Linked DNA regions of Stegostoma tigrinum. The protein of the gene in region 2 binds, or shares a complex with, the protein of the main gene of each other region. Links are inferred from orthologs where the notes say so. Each region holds a gene or a part of one and is shown on either strand. Other genes may lie near its edges.

Evidence for each region.
Region 1: the proteins of oprm1 (region 2) and pomca are in contact, whole or in part, in a cryo-EM structure (PDB 8F7Q), measured with the Homo sapiens proteins. The link is inferred for Stegostoma tigrinum from reciprocal best matches to the Homo sapiens genes OPRM1 and POMC. Residues at the interface, in NP_000905.3 of Homo sapiens: Ser66, Met67, Ala70, Ile71, Met74, Gln126, Asn129, Tyr130, Leu131, Met132, Gly133, Trp135, Val145, Ile146, Asp149, Tyr150, Met153, Arg213, Ile217, Asp218, Cys219, Thr220, Glu231, Lys235, Val238, Ile298, Val302, Lys305, Trp320, Ile324; in NP_000930.1 of Homo sapiens: Tyr237, Gly238, Gly239, Phe240, Met241, Thr242, Ser243, Glu244, Lys245, Thr248, Pro249, Leu250, Val251, Leu253.

The regions. Positions count from the first base shown.
Region 1 is NC_081362.1:98,311,388-98,321,235, reverse strand, and holds the start of pomca (proopiomelanocortin a), read left to right. Parts: upstream 1-5,368; 5' UTR 5,369-5,444; intron 5,445-5,627; coding exon of another isoform or gene 5,628-5,742; intron 5,743-9,848. Other genes in the region: fibrinogen-like protein 1, read right to left, coding at 4,833-4,934, 5,628-5,742.
Region 2 is NC_081362.1:94,688,503-94,698,474, reverse strand, and holds the start of oprm1 (mu-type opioid receptor), read right to left. Parts: upstream 4,643-9,972; 5' UTR 4,392-4,642; coding exon 4,117-4,391; intron 1-4,116. UniProt on the Homo sapiens protein: Receptor for endogenous opioids such as beta-endorphin and endomorphin. Receptor for natural and synthetic opioids including morphine, heroin, DAMGO, fentanyl, etorphine, buprenorphin and methadone.

The DNA.
Region 1 (9,848 bases), about 3.6 Mb from region 2:
AAAAGAGCTGAATTCCAGAGGTGAGGTGAGAGTGACAGCCCTTGATATGAAGGCTGCATTCAACCGAGTGCGGCATCAAGGAGCCCTAGCAAAACTGGAATTGATGAGCATCAGGGTGCAAACTCTCTGCTGGTTGGAGTCATAACTGGCATATAGGAGGTAGTTGGTGGTCAGTCATCTCAGCTCCAGGACATCACTGCAGGAGGTCCTCAGGATAGTACAATGGGATTATTGTACAAAATGCGGAGGAATGGAATTATTGCACAAAATGCGGAGGAATGGAATTGTGGGAGATATAGCAGTTTGGATCGGAAATTGGCTTGCTGAAAGAAGACAGAGGGTGGTAGTTGATGGGAAATGTTCATCCTGGAGACCAGTTACTAGTGGTGTACCACGAGGGTCGGTGTTGGGTCCACTGCTGTTTGTCATTTTTAGAAATGACCTGGATGAGGGCGTAGAAGGATGAAGTAAATTTGCAGACAACACTAAGTTCGGTGGAGTTGTGGATAGTGACGAAGGATGCTGTAAGTTGCAGAGAGACATAGATAAGCTGCAGAGCTGGGCTGAGAGGTGGCAAATGGAGTTTAATGCAGACAAGTGTGAGGTGATGCACTTTGGTAGGAGTAACCGGAAGGCAAAGTACTGGGCTAATGGTAAGATTCTTAGTAGTGTAGATGAGCAGAGAGATCTCGGTGTCCATATACACAGATCCTTGAAAGTTGCCACCCAGGTTGACAAGGCTGTTAAGGAGGCGTACAGTGCTTTAGCTTTTATTAATAGAGGGATCGAGTTCCGGAACCAAGAGGTTATGCTGCAGCTGTACAAAACTCTGGTGTGGCCACACTTGGAGTATTGCGTACAGTTCTGGTCACCACGTTATAAGAAGGATGTGGAAGCTTTGGAAAGGGTGCAGAGGAGATTTACTAGGATGTTGCCTGGTATGGAGGGAAGGTCTTACGAGGAAAGGCTGAGGGACTTGAGGCTGTTTTCATTAGAGAGTAGAAGGCTGAGAGGTGACTTAATTGAAACATATAAAATAATCAGGGGGTTAGATAGGGTGGATAGGAAGAGCCTTTTTCCTAGGATGGTGACAGCGAGCACGAGGGGGCATAGCTTTAAATTGAGGGGCGAAAGATATAGGACAGATGTCAGAGGTAGTTTTTTTACTCAGAGAGTAGTAAAGGAATGGAACGCTTTGCCTGCAACGGTAGTAGATTCGCCAACTTCAGGTACATTTAAGTCGTCATTGGACAAGCATATGGACGTACATGAAATAGTGTAGGTTAGATGGGCTTGAGATTGGTATGACAGGTTGGCACAACATCGAGGGCCGAAGGGCCTGTACTGTGCTGTAATGTTCTATGTTCTCTGTGATGGCGAGCACGAGGGGGCATAGCTTTAAATTGAGGGGTGAAAGATATTGGACAGGTGTTAGAGGTAGTTTCTTTACTCAGAGAATAGTAAGGGAATGGAACGCTTTGCCTGCAATGGTTGTAGATTCGCCAACTCTAGGTACATTTAAGTCGTCATTGGATGAGCATATGGACGTACATGGAATAGTGTAGGTTAGATGGGCTTCAGATCGGTATGACAGGTCGGCACAACATCGAGGGCCGAAGGGCCTGTACTGTGCTGTTATGTTCTATGATAGTCCTAGGTCCACCTATCTTCAGCTGCTTCATCAATGACCTTCCTTCCATGATAAGGTCAGAAGGGGGGATGTTCAATGAGATTGCATAATGTTGAGCACTACTTATGAGTCCTCTAATACTGAAGCAGTCCATGTACACATGCATCAAGATCCGAACAATATCCAGGCTTGGGCTGACAAGTGGCAAGTAACATTGGCGCCACACAAATACCAGGCAATGACCATCTCCAACAGACAACAATCTAACCACGGCTCCTGGACATTCAATGGCGTTACCATCACTGAAGACCCAACTATAACATCTTGGGGGTTACCTCTGACCAGAAACTCAACTGGTCTTGCCATATAAACACAGTGACTACAAGAGCAGGTCAGAGGCTGGGACTACTGCCACGAGTAACTCACCTCCTGATTCACCAAACCACCTACAAGGCACAAGTCAGGAGTGTGATGGAATAAGGTCAATTTGCCTGGATGAGGGCAGCCGCAACAACACTCAAGAAGCTTAACAACATCCAGAACGAAGCAACCTGCTTGATTGCCACTACATCCACTCCCTCCACCACTGATGCTCAGTAATAGCAATGTGCAATACCCATAAGATGCAGTACAGAAACTCACCAAACATCCTCAGACAGCACCTCCCAAACCCACAACCTCTTCCATCTTGAAGGACTAGGGTGGCAGATACATAGAACCACCATCACTTACAAGTTTCCCGCAGTCACTCACCATCCTGACTTGGAAATATGTTGCTGATCCTTCACTGGAAATCCTGGAATTCTCTCCCTAATAGCATTGTGAGTCAACCCACATCAGGTGGACTGTAGCAGTTCAAGAAGGCAACTCATTACCACCTTCTCAAAGGCAACTAGGGACAGGCAAAAAATTCTAGCCCAGACAGTGACACTCACATTCCACAAATGAATCAAAAAAGGAGCGGTTAGAGAAATATCAGTATCTACTTGCTGGAGTTTTGAAGGATGAGTGGGGAATCTCCTTATAACTTACAGAAACCTTTGGGGCCAGGATATAGTGGATGTGGAATAGATATTTCCACTAGGAGGAGTGGCCAGGGCAAGGACACAGCCTCAGAGTGAAGGGATGACCCTTTAGAACCGCGATGAGGCGAAATTTCTTCAGCCAAAAGGTGGAGAATCTGTAGAACTCATTGTTGCAGAAGGCTGTGGAGGCCAAGTTATTGAGTTTTTTTCCTTCTTTATTCATTCACCTGATGATTGCATCACTAGCCAGGAAGCATTTTTGCCCATCCTTAATTGCCTAGGGAATAGTTCAGAGTCAACCACGTTGCTGTGGGTATGGAGTCACATATAGGCCAGGCCAGGTATGGATGGCAGTTTCCTTCCCTAAAGGATATTAGTGAACCAGGTGGGCTTTTGACAATTGACAATGTATTCACGGTCATCATTAGGCTCTTAATTCCAGATATTTTATTGAATTCAAATTCACCATCTGCTGTGGCAGGTATTGAGCCTGGGTCTTGAGAACACTATCTGGGTCACTGGATTAATAGTCCAGCGATAATACCACTAGGCCATTACCTTTAAGACAGAGATAGATATATTTTTGATTTGTCAGGGGACCAAAGGTTATGGGCAGTAAGCGAAAGAATAGAATTAAGAAACATATTAGCCATAATCTAATGGTGGAACAAACCCCATGGGCTGAATGACCTAATTCAACTCCTACATCTTATGATCTTATCAATACTGCTTGAGGTTTCCTTGAAAAACTCCAATAAATTAGTAAGACACAATTTCACCTTCATGAAGTCACACTGACTGTGCTTGATCAGATTATGATCTTCAACCATTCAACAAAGGCTTGACTATGTATTTAGAAACTGACATATTTATATAGTTGTTAATGTTTTATGGTTGTTGGGAGACTCTCATCCAGACTCCTGATGTCTGGTGATGGTTGTATACAAGTGACGAGATGGGCCACCAAAAGCTGACACTAATGAACATCACTGCCAGGCTGTGCAAGTTGGGCCCATCTCCTCCTACCCTCCAGCAACAAATTAGAGAGGTCATTATGTACACTTTGACTTTCTTTATCCACCCACACAGCTCTAATGGGTCTGAGTGGAATCGAGTAAGATCAGGCCCCAGATGTGTACAGCTTCATCCTAATGCGTTCTTCAACTTGCGCACTTTACAGCGTATTATTAAAAAAAACACTTAAAAGGCTCTTTTCCTTTTTTCAACATTAGTGCAAGGTACACACAGATGGGGCAGCTTTCAGAGTATCCTAAGGAGGAAATTAGACTCATGGATTGTTTCCTCTGCTGATGGACAAATATCTACCTGACTCATTTCTCAAGGTTTTCAGTGTTTTCAGTTCAGTGTTATATTTAATGAAATGAGATTCAAGAAAAGCAAGATTGATTGAATATACAGGAGGCTTGAGTGCCTCTCTTCTAAACAGCTGAACAGTCAAGCACTTACACTCTTGAAGACTCACAGATGTAGCCTTGTAGCACACAACCTGATCTGCCAGGTTTGTTCCTGTCAGTAGGCTCACTCTGGCTTCAGCTATATCTCCTCTGCCTAAGTCCCAGCTTGTACCCATTCTCGGGTTTTAGGGAGAAAGGAAAGAGAAGAGAAAGGGAAAATGTTCCAAGTCAACAAGGGGCTCGAGTTTAAGCAAGCCCTCAATGTGATACAAAAAAAAATCAAGTTAGCCAGTTCAAAATCACTGACCAGCATCTTCTGAATGGACCTGGGACAGACACCTAAACACAGATTTTTCGTTCTTGTACACTGAAGGCTAGCAGGAAAGGACAGAGTAAAGCCTCTAAAACAATTCACTGGTGAACTCCTGTGGTCATCTTTGTTCCCATCAGATACAGGATCTCACAACCCAAAGTTTCCCAGTCACTCTGGTCCCTGAGCTCCATATTCCCCAGTCACACTAATGCTAAAGGCTCCTGATCTCCCCATAACCCTGGTCCCACTGTCCACTTTCTCCATGTTGTCCTGTTCTCTCTGTCACTCTGGTCCCAAAGACCCATATTCCTCCAGTCACCCTAGTTGCAAAGCCTTCTAAACTTCTCCCCCCACCCACCATCACCCCAATCCCACTGTCCCCTTTCTGGTCCCACAACCTTCCGAACTCCTCTGTCAATGTGGTTGCATAGCCCTGTTCTCCCCATTACCTTTTTCTTTCTTGGTGTGAGTTGTTTTCTGACCTTTACAGACTATTGTGATATGGAAAAGAATTTCGTTCCAGTAAGTGAGGAGGGCAGGTGGCCTGTTGCCTTGTCACCGGAGAAAATCATACACAAAAAGACAGGAGATGTGAGCTTGTGTTCACACTGCCTCTAATTGTCCATTTAATTTGATGTTGATCTATTGAAACGTTGCTGTGTAAATGCACACTGAAGCTTAAAATCAGCGTTTCATTGAGAGGAAAGGTTTGGAAATTAAAAACGGTGTCATCAGTGGCCAATGAAGTTTTTGAAAGGTGTTAGATTTTGAGAGGATGCCGTGAAATTTCCTGTGGGGAGACGTGCTAATCCTCCTCACTGTGTAACCAGTGGAAATGGTTCTATTTACACATGCGACGTCTGTTAAAAGCTCTGATTCCTTTGGAGTGCTGGCAGTTTCAGATTTCCTACAATTATTGTCCTTGAAAAGGTTGATTTAATCGTGATGACGTGTTTGATTGAAGTACAAATAGGAAGAATGGTATAAAAAGGCAGAGAGTTGCAGTCAAAGCAGATACAGAAACAGAGCTTCCACGAGAAGTGTCTTTGCAACAAGAACAGGTAAGGGAATTCTGGACTTAGCATGCAATTGTTAATAAATGGGGTAGAAACAAGTTACTCGTTTAATAACAACTAGCTTAAGTCGACGATATTTTTGTAGGAATTTTATTATTCAGCGTTTACTGCGTAAATCCTGGACTATTGTAAGATTTTTCAGATATTCCAGGACTGCATCCCACTCACTGTACCAGCCTGCTGTCCAATCTCCAATATGCTCCACATGCTTCAACCTGCTGTCCAGTCTCTGGCACACTCCAAAGCCTGACGCCTGCTGTCTAATCTCCAGTGGATTCAACATGCAACAGCCGACTGTCCGGTCTCTCCTACACTCGATATCCCATAGCCCGCTCTACAGTCTCTTCTACACTCCACAAGTCACAGCCCACTGTCCAGTCTCTCCTACAGTGTACAATTCACAGCCTGCTGTCCAGTCTCTGCTCCACTGTATACCCCACAGATTAGTGTCCAATTTCTGCTAGACTCTACACCCCACAGACTGCTGTCCAGTCTCTCCCACACTCTACACCCCACAGATTAGTGTCCAGGCTCTCCTACACTCTACACTCCACAGACTGGTTTCCAGTCTCTCCTACACTCAGCACCCCACAACTCACTGTCCAGCCTCTCCTACACTCTACACTCCACAACCCCTGTTCAGTCTCTCCTACGCTCTACACCCTACAGCCTGCTGTCCAGTCTCTCCTACACTCTATAATTCACTGCCTGCTGTACAGTCTTCCCTACACTCTGCACACCACAGCCCGCTGTCCAGTCTCTCCTACACTCTACTCCTCACAGCCCATTGTCCAGACTTTCCTACACTCTACACCCCACAGAGCACTGTCCAGTCTCTCCTACGCGTTACGCCCCACAGACCGGCGTCCAGTCTCTCCTACACTCTGCACCCCACAGCCCCTCGTGCAGTCTCTCCGACACTCTACACCTTACAGCCCGCTGTCCACTCTCTCCTACATGCTATAATTCACAGCCCGCTGTACAGTCTCTCCTACACTCTGCACCCCACAGCCTGCTGTCCAGCCTTGCCGACACTCCACACCCTGCAGCCTTCTGTCCAGTTTCATCATACATTTCGTACACTGTGGCCTGGTGTGTAGTCTGTCCTACATTCCACCCCTGCACATACCGTCTCGTCTCTTATAAACTCTACACTCTGAGACTTGTGTTCAATCTTTCCTACAATCCAGATCCTGCGGGTGATGTCCAGTTTTCTCTGCTGTCCACACTCTGTAGCATTCCTGCCATTTGGTCAGAGATTATACGGTTCAAGTCCTGACACAAACAGTCCGAGGCACAGGAGACAGGCTCTCCAGTGGGATACTGTGTCCAGTGGTTGTTCCTTTCTTCTCTTATTTCCTTCAACACTGGAATAAACTGGAATCTCACCTGACCCACCATCACATACTTGTGAATTGTTGGTTAGCTGCAGCAAAGGTGTAAGTTTATTTTAAGACAAGACTACACCAGTTTCTAATTTAAATTCAGAAAATTTTTACTGTGTCAGTAAAGAGCCAATTACAAAGCTGTCTTAAATGAGAGAAAGACCAATTTTGTAATCTGAAAACCCCAAAAAAGTCATAGTAAACGAAAATATATATGAACACTTGAACAAGGAATGAAAGTAGGCCACTTGGCCCCTTGAACCGACTCCACCATTTAATATGATCATGGCTGATTTCGTCACAGCTGCAACTCCACTTTCCTGCTTACTTCCCACAGCTCTTACATTTGTTACTAGTTACAAATCTGTTCGTTTCCTCCTTAAATTTGCTTAGATGTTTTTAAGATGGGTCACCAAACTTGAAATGTGAACTCTTTATACATGATACCAGATTTGCTGAGTTTCTCCAGCTATTTCTATTTTCATTCCAATTATGTCACCCCTGGCTCTTCTAAACTCCAGTGGATGCTGGCATAGCCTGTCTAACATTTCTTTATAAGGCATTCTGCTCATTGCAGCTATTGTTCTAGAAAACCTTTGCTGAACTGCTTCCAACACATTAACATCTTTGTGTAAGTATGATGACCATTACTATACATAGTTCTCCAAATGCAGTCTCATCAATGCCTTGTGCAACTGAAACATAACCACGGGTCCTAGTCTCCCCGCCTAACGGAAACAACTTCCCAGCGTCCACCCCTTCTAAACCATACATTATCTTGTAAGTTTCTATTAGATCTCCCCTCAACCTTCTAAACTCTAATGAGTACAAGCCCAGGATCCTTAGCCGTTCATTATACGTTAAACCTACCATTCCAGGGATCATCCGTGTGAATCTCCGCTGGACACGCTCCAGGGCTAGTATGTCTTTCCTGAGGTGTGGGGCCCAGAATTGGACACAGTATTCTAAATGGGGCCTAACTAAAGCCTCAGAAGCACATCACTGCCTTTATATTCCAACCCTCTTGAGATAAACGACAACATTACATTCGCTTTCTTAATCACAGACTCTACCTGCAAGTTAACCTTTAGACAGTCCTGGACCAACACTCCCACATCCCTCTGTACTTCTGCTTTATGAATTTTCTCATCATTTAGAAAATAGTCCCCACATCCCTTTGTACTTCTGCTTTATGAATTTTCTCACCATCTAGAAAATAGTCCATGCCTGTATTCTTTTTTCCAAACCCCAATTTTAAACAATCATGAGGGAAAGTGGTTGATGCTGTCTACATGGACTTCACTGAAGCCTTTGACAAGGTCCGTCATGGCAGTGGGTACAAAACATGAAGTCACATGGTATTAGGGTGAGCTGGCAAGATGGATACAGAACTGACTTAGCCATAGAAGACGGAGATAGTGGTGCAAGGATTCTTTTCAGAATGGAGGGTTGTGACTAGTGGTGTCCCACAGAGATCAGTGCTGGCACCTCTGCTGTTCATGGTCTACGTAGATGATTTGGAAGAAAACGTAATTGGTCTAATCAATACATTTGCAGAGGATACGAAGATTGGTGGAGTTGTGGATAATGAGGAGGACTGTCAGAAGATGCAGCAGAATATAGATCAGTTAGATGCATGGTCAAAACATTGGCAGATGGAGTTTAATTCCGGTAAATGTGACGTGATGCATTTTGGAAGGTCAAGTTACAGATGGAAATTATACAGTGAATGGCAGAACCCTTCAGAGTATTGAATTGCAGGGAGATCCGGGTGTGCATGTTAACAGATCACTGAAGGTGACAGTCCAGGTAGATAAGGCAGTAAAAAAAAAACGCTTATGGCATGATGGTCTTCAATAGAAGGGGCATTGACTATAAGGATCGGCAAGTTATGCTGTAGCTTTATAAAACTTTAGTTCGATCACACTTAGAATATTGTGTCCATTCTGGTCACCACACTACTAGAGGATGTGGATGCTTCTGAGAGAGCACTGAAAAGGTTTACCAAAATGTTGCATGGTATGATGGATTTTAGCTCAAAAGAAAGGTTGGATAGATTGGGTTTGTTTTCACAGAATGCAGGAGGTTGCGGGGTGGCCTGATAGAAGTTTATAAGATTGTGAATGGCATGAATCGAGTGGGAAGTATGAGGGTGGAGGGGTCAATTACTTGGGGACACAGGTTCAAGGTGTGGGCAGAGGAAAGTTTAAAAGAGATGTGTGACGCAGGTTTTTCATGCAAAGGGTGGTGAGTGCCTGGAATACGCTGCCAGAGGAGGTGATCAAAGCAGATACAAGAGAGAGAGAGAAACTGAGGGAGCTGGGCAGAGAGAAATATAGAGAGTTGGAGAAAGCAAGAGAGAAGGAAAGCTGGAGATCAATGAGATCATGATAATTACAGGTCAGAAAGGCCATTAATCTATCCAGAGACCCTGGAACACCACCGCAACTAGAGAAATCAAAGATGCATTTCAACGACCTAGAGTATTTGCATTCACTCCCTCTGGAAGTTTATTCCACTTTGATTAGTCTTTTTCTGCTACTTACTTTTAATAAAATTACTATCTAGCTGAGGTTGGGCTTTTAACATCATGTTCACCTTCACATGGCCAACTTCAGGGTGAAAAGTCCAACCCTCTTTCTCTAGCCATACTAGACTCCTTGCCATGGGAATGTCTAAGCTGTCAGGGATTTTAAAGATCATGCCCTTTCAATTTCGTGAAGGATATTTAATCAAAGTGAATGAAGGACGTGGGCTGCTTTTAAGTGATTCCAGAGGTGAGAGGACTCCACAAAATCTGGTGGCAGCTGCAGTGGTTGACCAGGACAGGGGTTTCTCCGCCTTTGCGATTTACAGAGGCTTATTACACATGGTTCATGCTGTTATGTCACTATTGGGTAAGGCAAGAATGTAGGCCCCAAAAGTTACCTCAGTCAATGCAGGATTTGAATCTATGTAGTAAGAGTCATTCCTTAGTACACTCATAACCAAATGAGCTAACTGC
Region 2 (9,972 bases):
TTTTGGGTCAGGACCCTTCTTCAGAAATGACGAAGAGGGGAAGGGAGCTCTGAAATAGAGAGGGGGGTGGGGCTGGGCAAGGTAGGTGGGATGCTGATGCGTGAGTGCAGGTAGCCAATGGTGGTGCTTGGTCAGTGAGATGGGAAGAGTGGATAGTTGGGAGAGAAGACAGACAGGTCAAGGAGGTGGGGATGAGAGGATTCAAGAAAACCTTCCACATCAGACAGATGTTCACCTGCACACCCGCTAATGTGGTTTATCTGTTGCTCCGATGTGGCCTCCTTTGCATTGGTGAGACCAAGCGGAGGCTTGGAGAATCACGTTGGAGCACCTGAGCTCAGTTTGTGACAAATGACAACACCTTCCAGCCACGAACCAGTTCAACTCCCCCTCCCAACCCTTGTATGACATGTCCACCCTGGGCTTCCTCCAGTGTCACAACGATGTCACCCGGAAACTGGAGGAGCAGCACCTCATATTCCACTTTGGGAGCCTACAGTCTAATGGTCTCAATGCGGGCCTTACTAGTTTCAAAATCTCCCCACCTCTGGCCTCATCCCACGACCAAACCTCCCTCTCATCCCTGTCCGTTTTCTCTCCCACCTATCTGCTCCTCCCACCTCACTGATCAATCCCCACCACTGCCCACTTGCACTCACCTATCACCATCCCACCTGCCTTCCCCAGACCCACCACTGCTTTCCCTATTTATTTCAGAGCTCCCTTCCCCCTCCCCCATTTCTGAAGAAGGGGCTGGACCTGAAGCTTCAGCTTTCCTGTTCTTCTGATCCTGCCTGGCCTGCTGAGATCCCCCAGCTCCACGCTGTGTTATCTTTGACTCCAGCATCAGCAGTTCTTACAATCTCTCAATCAGATAATCTGTTTTTGATTGTGACATTGATTGATGGATAGATAGATATTGATCAGATCACTGAGATCATCTTTCCCATTGTACCTGCTTGAAAAAGTGTCATGACTTATTTTGTTACATATGGGAGCAGATGGAAGGGTTTGGGTAATGCCTCCATTTGACATCTCATTGAAAAGACAGATTCCTTCACTGGTTAACCTGCAATTTTCCCTGGGAATGTTTGCTAGGACAAAACAATAAAGTTCCTTCTACACTACCCTTTCAAACAGAGATTCAGCATCCTGCAGTTCAAGTCAATCAATTGTCATTGATTGCAAGGTAAAGTTAGAGAGCAAGGAAATGTCTTGTGAAAAGAATAATGGCACCAAGGAGCCTAGGAAAATTAGAGTCAATGGGTAACAAAGGGCAAACTTTCTGCAGGTTGAAGTCATACCAGCACATAGGTACTGACTGTGGTTGTTGCAGGGCAGCCATTTCAGATCCAGGACATCGCAACAGGAGTTCCTCAGGGTACTGTCCTAGGCCCTTCCATCTTCAGCTGCTTCACTAATGATCTATTCTCCATCATAAAGTTAGAAGAGGAGATGTGCAATCATTGGTGAACCTGTTGCGATTCCTCAGATACTGAAGCAGTTCATGTCCAAATGCAACAGGATCTAGACAATGTCTAGGTTTGGGCCGACAAGTGGCAAGTAACATTAATGCCATACAAATGCCAGCTAATTCCCAATAAGAGACAATGTAACTACCGTCCCTTCACATTTAATGGTGTGACCTTACAATCAACATCTTTGGCATTAACATTGAACTCAACTGGACTCACCACATAAACACAATGGTTACAAGATCAGATCAGATACTAGGAATCCTACAATTAATAACTCACCTCCTGACTCCCCAAAGCCTGTTCACCATCGACAAGGCACAAATCAGGAGTGTGATGGAATGCTTCCCATTTGCCTGGATGAATGCAGCCCCAACAACACTCAAGAAACTTGACACCATCCAGGAAGCACAACGAGGTCTAGGTGTTCTTGTACATCAGTCAATGAAAGCAAGCATGCAGGTGCAGCAGGTAGTGAAGAAAGCTAATGGCATGCTGGCCTTCATAACAAGGGGAATTGAGTATAGGAGCAAAGAGGTCCTTCTGCAGCTGTACAGGGCCCTGGTGAGACCGCACCTGGAGTATTGTGTGCAGTTTTGGTCTCCCAATTTGAGGAAGGACATTCTTGCTATTGATGGAGTGCAGCGTAGGTTCACAAGGTCAATTCCCGGAATGGCGGGACTATCATATGTTGAAAGATTGGAGCGACTGGGCTTGTATACCCTTGAGTTTAGAAGGATGAGAGGGGATCTGATTGAGACGTATAAGATTATTAAGGGATTGGACACTGTGGAGGCAGGAAGCATGTTTCCGCTGATGGGTGAGTCCAGGACCAGAGGACACAGTTTAAAAATAAGGGTTAGGCCATTTAGAACAGAGTTGAGGAAAAACTTCTTCACCCAGAGAGTGGTGGATATATGAAATGCTCTGCCCCAGAAGGCAGTGGAGGCCAACTCTCTGGATATTTTCAAGAAAGAGATGGATAGAGGTCTTAAAGATAGTGGGATCAAGGGTTATGGGGATAAGGCATGAACAGGGTACTGATTGTGGATGATCAGCCATGATCATAATGAATGGTGGTGCTGGCTTGAAGGGCTGAATGGCCTACTCCAGCACCTATTGTCTATTGTCTATTGCTTGATTGGCATGACATCCACAAACATCCACGCCCCTCCCCTCTGATGCTCAGAAGCAGAAATGTGTACTATCGACAAGATACAGTGCAGAAATTCACCAAAAATGGTCAGACAGCACACTCCAACCTCATAACCACTTTCATCTAGAAGGACATAGGAACATCACCACCTACAAGTTCCTTCTAAGCCATGTACCATCCTGACTTGGAAATATATTGCTGTTTCTTAACTGTCACTAGTTCAAAATTCTGGAATTCCTTCCCTAAGGGTTTTGTGGGTCTATCTACAGCACATGGACAGCATTGTTTCAAGAAGGCAGGTCACTACCACCTTCTCAAGGGCAACTAGGGATGGGCAATAAATGTTGGCTGGCCCAGCTATATCCACATCCCATGAGTGAATTAAAAAAAAGGATATTGAGTGGTGGGTGGGTTTGGATGGTTATTAAATTGTAATAGAGCTATTATTACTCGAGAATAGGAAAAGAGAACAAGAACCTTTTTTGCAGCACCTTTCGGTGTGAACAAGTCATACGAACCTCAAACTATTCACTCGGATCCTCTCTCTACGGATGTGCTGCCAGATTTGCTGAGTTTTTCTGGCATTCTCTGTTGTTGTCTCAGATTGAAATATCGAGTCATTCAAATTTGCTGATAGCCTGAGACTGTGTCATCTTCCTTCGGCTCTTGATGACCTGGTCTGCAGACTGGGGTGGAGTTGGATGCCACGCCGGTGTTAGAATGCAGTTGGTTGAAAGGAGGAAGCATGTGTGATTTTCTCTATCAGTATGTCACGATGTCAATTTTGTCCTTCCCTCAGGGATAGCACTAGAGTTTCACCAGTGAATATGGATGGGGTTGGGGAGAGGTGTTGGTGAGAGGAGAGTGGAGGAGTTGTAATTAGGTTTTGAGGAGCGCTTAAAGGTAGTTCCTATTGAAAACGTGAGAAAGGAGTTTATAAAGAAGTAAAAATGTACGTTGAGGATTGACTGCACGATTTGAAACGAGGGTCCATCTGAGGGTTCTTTAGACGCTGCATTCCCACACTTACCGGTTAGATGGCGCTGTTTGAGCAACTAAGACAAGTGGCAAACCCATCCCGCCCCACAGATATCTATTAAATACAGCTATTAATCCATAAACATTCAATCAGTCCACAGATACGCAGTTATTAACGTGAAATTCACGCAATTCATCTCTACGAAATTGAACTGTGCCGAACCTCTCAAATCCATGCATCAACATTGAATGTGCAGTAGTTCGTAAGGTTATGCACATTGGCTTATATGTAAACAAGAACATTGTACTGAAGTTAGACGCCAATACTACCAATCAATGAAGTGAGGCGAGTGAGAGATGGTACTCTAGTCAAAATCCATTGATGCTGACAGAGGTTTCGCGAGAGAGCCAGAGAGAGAGAGAGAGACAGACAGACGGAAAGACACACAGATAGAGAGGCAGCGAGAGGGGAAGGACGGATGTCTTGGAGTTGAGACTGTACGTTACCTGACAATCACATACATGACCAGGACGTTGCCCACCAGTCCCAGCACACAGACAATGGAGTAAAGAGCAGTGATGATGATGGCGATGATGATTGAAGCCGAACTCTTGCTCAGAGGGACGTTCTCGGTGCCGTTACACGGGTTCGAGCTCGAGTTGATGCAGAGATATGACCAGTTGGCTGAGCCCAGGCTGGAATTCATGGTGGTCAGGCTAGTCTGGCAGAGCTGGGACCCGTTGGCAGCTAGATCAATGCAGGGCTGGGCGAGTAGCTCCATTGCAATGTTTTTCTTTTGTTTTTAGCAGAACGTAAGGGATTTTTTTCAAATTAAAAAAAGGAGCACTGTTGATTCAAAACTTCAGCAGATCCTCAGATGTGATAAGTGCGACGCACCTCCTGGTCAGTGCAATGCTCTGGGTGAATTGAGCTCACTCAGGGCAGCAGTAGCGAGAAGCTCAGCGTTCCTCACGTTATATGCGAAGGGAACACTGTTGGTGCCTGGGCATCCAGGCTGTCTGTGGCACTGGTTGATCCATCTCCACCTCGTCTGATTTTTTTTTATTCTGGACGTGATTCGCCGCTTTATTGGAGGGGGCTGACGTCAACCCCTCCCCATTCCCCTCGCCTGTGATTGGAGTGTCGGAGCCAGCACCTGGCCGCAGTATCAGTTAAAGGTATCAACTGAGCACCGGAGCGGGCTCTGCGCTGTCCATGGTGCTGAAACAACGCCGGCTGCAATGCAACGGGGGCTAGGAGTCCGAACAACCGGGAAGTTACTGGATGGGGTTTAAGGACACAGAACAGAGAGAGAGAGGCGTTAAACTAAAGCGTCCTCAGCAATAGCTCTGTCCCATGACGCTTGAGAAGTCAGCCCTTGATACAGTGAGATGAAATTCATCCAGGAGGGAGCTGGGGATTCAATGGAATTGAAGACATTGGAATGGATTTTCAGTTGAAGGTGATGCACAGTTGGGTGATTGGAAAAGGGTTTATTATGTTAAACAGACAGTTTCTGCCACAGTCACAAATACGGTCATTTCATCATGACACGTGGGTTATTGTGCTTTGTGGCTGGTCCTTGGCCCTGTGGCTTCCTTCCGTTGACATTTACAAGGAAATTTTCATATAAATAATCAAGCAGTTGACTGCCATATTCATTAAGTGCCACTTATGTGAATCCTTAGAATGTGTGGAGATTACTGTTTTGAGAAGAGAACAGTTCACAATCATTCATTGCTGTACACTGTGCACCCCAAACCTTCCTGAACAGATAGGTGCAGGATCTGTAACTTGCAGGTCATTAAACAACTATGTAAGATAAATGCAAAGGATTTGACACTTTGGAGGATGCAAACCATCTGAGTTAAAAGAAAATTAATGGAAGACTGGCATTTCTATAGCATCTTTCAGGGATTCAGGACATCCCAAAGCATTTCATAATCAAGGAAGTTTTTTTAAAATTTGTAGTCACTATTAGAATGAAGGAACCAAGGCAGTCAATTTATGTATAACATGGTCTCACAAGCATCTTGAAATAACCATAGATTATTTATATTCGCCTGTTTTTTTGCATGTTATACCTGAAAAGCAGAACTTTGGTAGTTCAGCACTGCCTGTGTCAAATTAGGTCATGTGCTCAAGGCCAGCAGTTTGAAATCTGAACTAAACAACCTTCTGACGCAGACATAACAACATTATCCACCAAATCATTGATAACACAGGGTGATGGGTTATCTACCCTTCCACCTCCCCCCAAACTCAGTGACATGCCTATTTTCTTCCTACATGTTCAGCAACCTGCTATGGACTACCCACATTTCTTAGTTCCCTCTTAGATTTGAAAGCTTTGCTTTCTCTGTTGTAGATGTCTGCCTGGCAAAGTTTCATTGAGATTGTTAAAGGCATCTTTGACTTCCTCAGGCAACCTCAGTGACATGCATCATCCAAAAGGCTGCAACAAAATTCTCCTTCTTGATCTCAGATAGTTCTGAAGACTGAGAATGAGTCATTCTATGCGGGGAGAGAGGAAGATAGCTTTGCTAAGACATGGAACTAATTTAATCTCATTCAAGTGGTGCTTGCCATTGAGAACAGGTAGAGAATTCTGAAAGACATCTGCTACCTTCTATCACATACTTGATTTCTTTGAAACAGAGTGATTGGCAACTTATTGTGTAGAGATTTGTTCCATTCAACTTTGTCATTCTACTCTCTTTTTGATGTTGAAGATAATTGAAAAAGGAACCAGAGGGGAAATGATCATATTTTCTTTTATGTAGTGAGTTGTTGTGATCTGGAATGGACTATTCTGAAAGGGCAGCGAAAGTGGATTTAGTTATAATGTTTAACAACAAATTATGAGCAGATGGCTGAGGTGTGAGTGGGGGAGCACTTTGGGACCAGTGATCATAGTTCTATTAGTTTTAAGATAATGATGGAAAAGGATAGACTGGATCTTAAGTTTAAAGTTCTAAATTGGAAGAAGGCTAGTTTTGATGGCATTAGGCAAGAACTTTCAGAAGTTAATAGGGGACAGATATTCCCAAGTAAAGGGATGGTTGAAAAATGGGAAGACTTCAAAAATGAGATACCAGGTGTCCAGAGACAGTATGTTACTGTTTGGGTGAAGGGCAAGGTCAGTAGGTGTAAGGAATGCTGGATGATTAGAGAAATTGAAATTTTGGTCAAGATAAAGAAGGAAGCATATGTCAGGTATCGATTGCAGGGATTAAGTAAATCCAGTAGAAGTATACTTAAGAGGAAAATCAGAAAGCCAAAAGGGGGACATGAGGTAGCTTTTGACAAATAGAGTTAAGGAGAATCAAAAGGGATTCTACAAATACATTAAGGCAAAAGAGTCACCAGCAAATGAATAGGGCCCTTAAAGATCAGCAAGGCTGCCTAAGGGTAGAACCACAGGAGATAGATCAGACACTAAACAAGTATTTTGCATCAGTGTTTATGGTGGAGAAGACTATGGAAGCTAAAGAACTTCGAGAAATAAAGAACAACTTCTTGAAAAATGACCATATTACAGAGGAGGGGGTGCTGGACACCTGAAAATGCATAAAAGTGGATAAATCCCTGGGGCCTGATCCAGTGTATCCTAGAACTCTGTGGGAAGCTCAGGAAGTGATTGCTGGGCCCCTTGCTGAGATATTTCTGTCATCAATAACCACAAGTGAGGTGCTGGAAGACTGGAGTTTGGCTAATCTGTTGCTCTTATTCAAAAAGGTGGGAAGGAAAAGCCAGGATCTATAGCCCACTGAGCCTGACATCAGTGGTGAGCAAGTTGTTGGAGAGGATTCTGGTAGACAGGGCTTATATGTATTTGGAAAGGCAAGGACTGATTAGGGATTGTCAGCATGGATTTGTGCATGGGAAGTCATGTCTCACTAACTTGATTGAGTTTTATGAAGAAGTAACAAAGAGCATTGATGAAGGCAGAGCATTGGACATGATCTATATGGACTTCAGTAAGGCATTCAACAAGGTTCTGTGAGTAGACTGTTTAGGGAGGTTAGATCTCACAGAAAACAAGGAAGACTAGACATTTGGGCATAGAATTGATTCGAAGGTGGGAGACAGAGGGACGTGGTGGAGGGTTACCTTTCAGACTGGAGGCCTGTGACCAGCGGTGTGCCAGGAGGATTGCTGCTCAATTCACTACTTTTCATCATTTATACAAATGATTTGGATGTGATCATCAGGGGTACGGTTAGTAAATTGGAAGATGATGCCAAAATTAGAGGTGTGGTGGACAGGGAAGAACATTACCTCAGAGAAAAATGGGATGGTGATCAGAAGAGCCAATGACCCAAGGAGTGGCTGATGGTGCTTAATTCAGATAAATGTAAGGTGCTGCATTTTAGACAGGCAAATGAGGGCAGGACTAATACACTTAATGGTAAGACCCTGGGGAGTGTTGTTGAACAAAGTCCTTGGAGTGCAGGTTCATAGTTCCTTGAAAGTGGAGTCGCAGATAGACAGGATAGTGAAGAAGTTCTTTGGTGTGCTTGCCTTTACTGGTCAGTGCATTGAGTACAGGAATTGGGAAGTCATAGATAATGGGAACTGCAGATGCTGGAGAATCCGAGATAACAAAGTGTGGAGCTGGATGAACACAGCAGGCCAAGCAGCGTCTTAGGAGCTCAAAAACTGATGTTCTGGGCCTAGACCCTTCATCAGAAAAGGTTTCTTCAGAGGCAGGAGGGTAACTTCTTCAGGTTAGGCCTGAAACATAAGCTTTTGTTCTCCTAAGATGCTACTTGGCCTGCTGTGTTCATCCAGATCTACACTTCGTTATCTCTTAATTGGGAAGTCATGTTGTGACTGTACCAGACGTTGGTTCAGCCGCTTTTGGAAAACTGTGTTCAGTTCAGGTCTTTCTGCTATGGGAAGGATGTTGTGAGACTTGAAAGTGCTCAGAAAGATTTTCAAGGATATTGCCAGAGTTGGAGAGTTTGAGCTATAGAGAAAGACTGAATAATCTGGGGCTATTTTCCATGGTGCGTCGGAGGCTGAGGGATGACCCGATAGAGGTTTATAAAATCATGAGGGGCATAAATAGGATGAGTAGACAAGGACTTCTTCTCGGGGTGAGGGACCCCAAAACGAGAGGGCATAAGTTTAAGCTTTAAACGAGATCAAAGAGCAACTTTTTCGTGCAAAGGGTGGTGTATATATGGAATGAGCTGTCAGAGGAAGTGGTGGAGGCTAGCACAATTACAGCATTTAAAAGGCATTTGGAAGGGTATATGAATGGGAAGGCTTTGGAGGGATATAGATCAAATGCTGACAAATAGAAGTAGATTAATTTCGGATATCTAATCAGCATTGACAAATTGGACTGATGGATCTGTTTCTATACTGTACAGCTCCATTACTCTACATTTATATAGCAAATTGTATCAAAATGAAATGATCACAAGGTGCTTTAGAAGAGGATTACAAAGTAACATTTGATACCAACTCAACTACAAAGATACGAGGACAAATGATCAAAATATGGATCAAAGCAATAAACATTAAGAGGCATTTTAAAGCAGATTGCACCTGAAGAGGAGATGGTGAGTGTCTTCTTGAACTGCTGTAGCTCCTTTGATGTAGGTAGAGCCACAGTGCTATTAGGGAATGATTTTGAGACAGTGATACTGAATGGTGATATATTTCCAAGTCAGGATGGTGACAGACTTGAAGTGGGAGCTGTACGTATTGTCTAAGGAAGCTTAGTGAAGTTCTGACATATATCATTGCAGGCCATACACACTGCTACTGAGGTTCAGTGATGAAAGGAGTGATTATTTGTGGATGTGGTACCAATCAAGTGGGCTGTTTTGTCCTGGATGGTGTCAATCTTCTTGAGTGTTGGTGGAGCTTATCTCACCAGGCAAGTGAGGAACATTCCATCATACACCTGGCTTACGCCTTGCAGATGGTGGGCAGGCTTTGGGGAATCAGGAGGTGAGTTGGTCTCTATCTTGCTCTTACAAACACTGTATTTGAATTGCTGGTTCAGTTCAGTTTCTGATCAATTGTTAGAACCTAGATGTTGGTCATGAGGAATTCAGAGGTGATAATATCATTGAATGTATACAGATAGTTGTTAGGCTTTCTCCTGTTGGAGATGGTCATTATCTGGCATTTGAGAGATGTGACTGTTACTTGCCACTTGTCAGCCTAAACCTGGATTCTGTCCAGTTCTTGCAGCATTTGGATGTGGACTGCTTCTATTTCTGATGAGTAATAAGTGGTGCTTTATGGTGTGCAATCTTTTCAACGAACATTCCCGCTATGACCTTATGACAGAGGGAATGCCCTTGATGAAGCAGATTAAGATGATTCGTTCAAGGACTCCT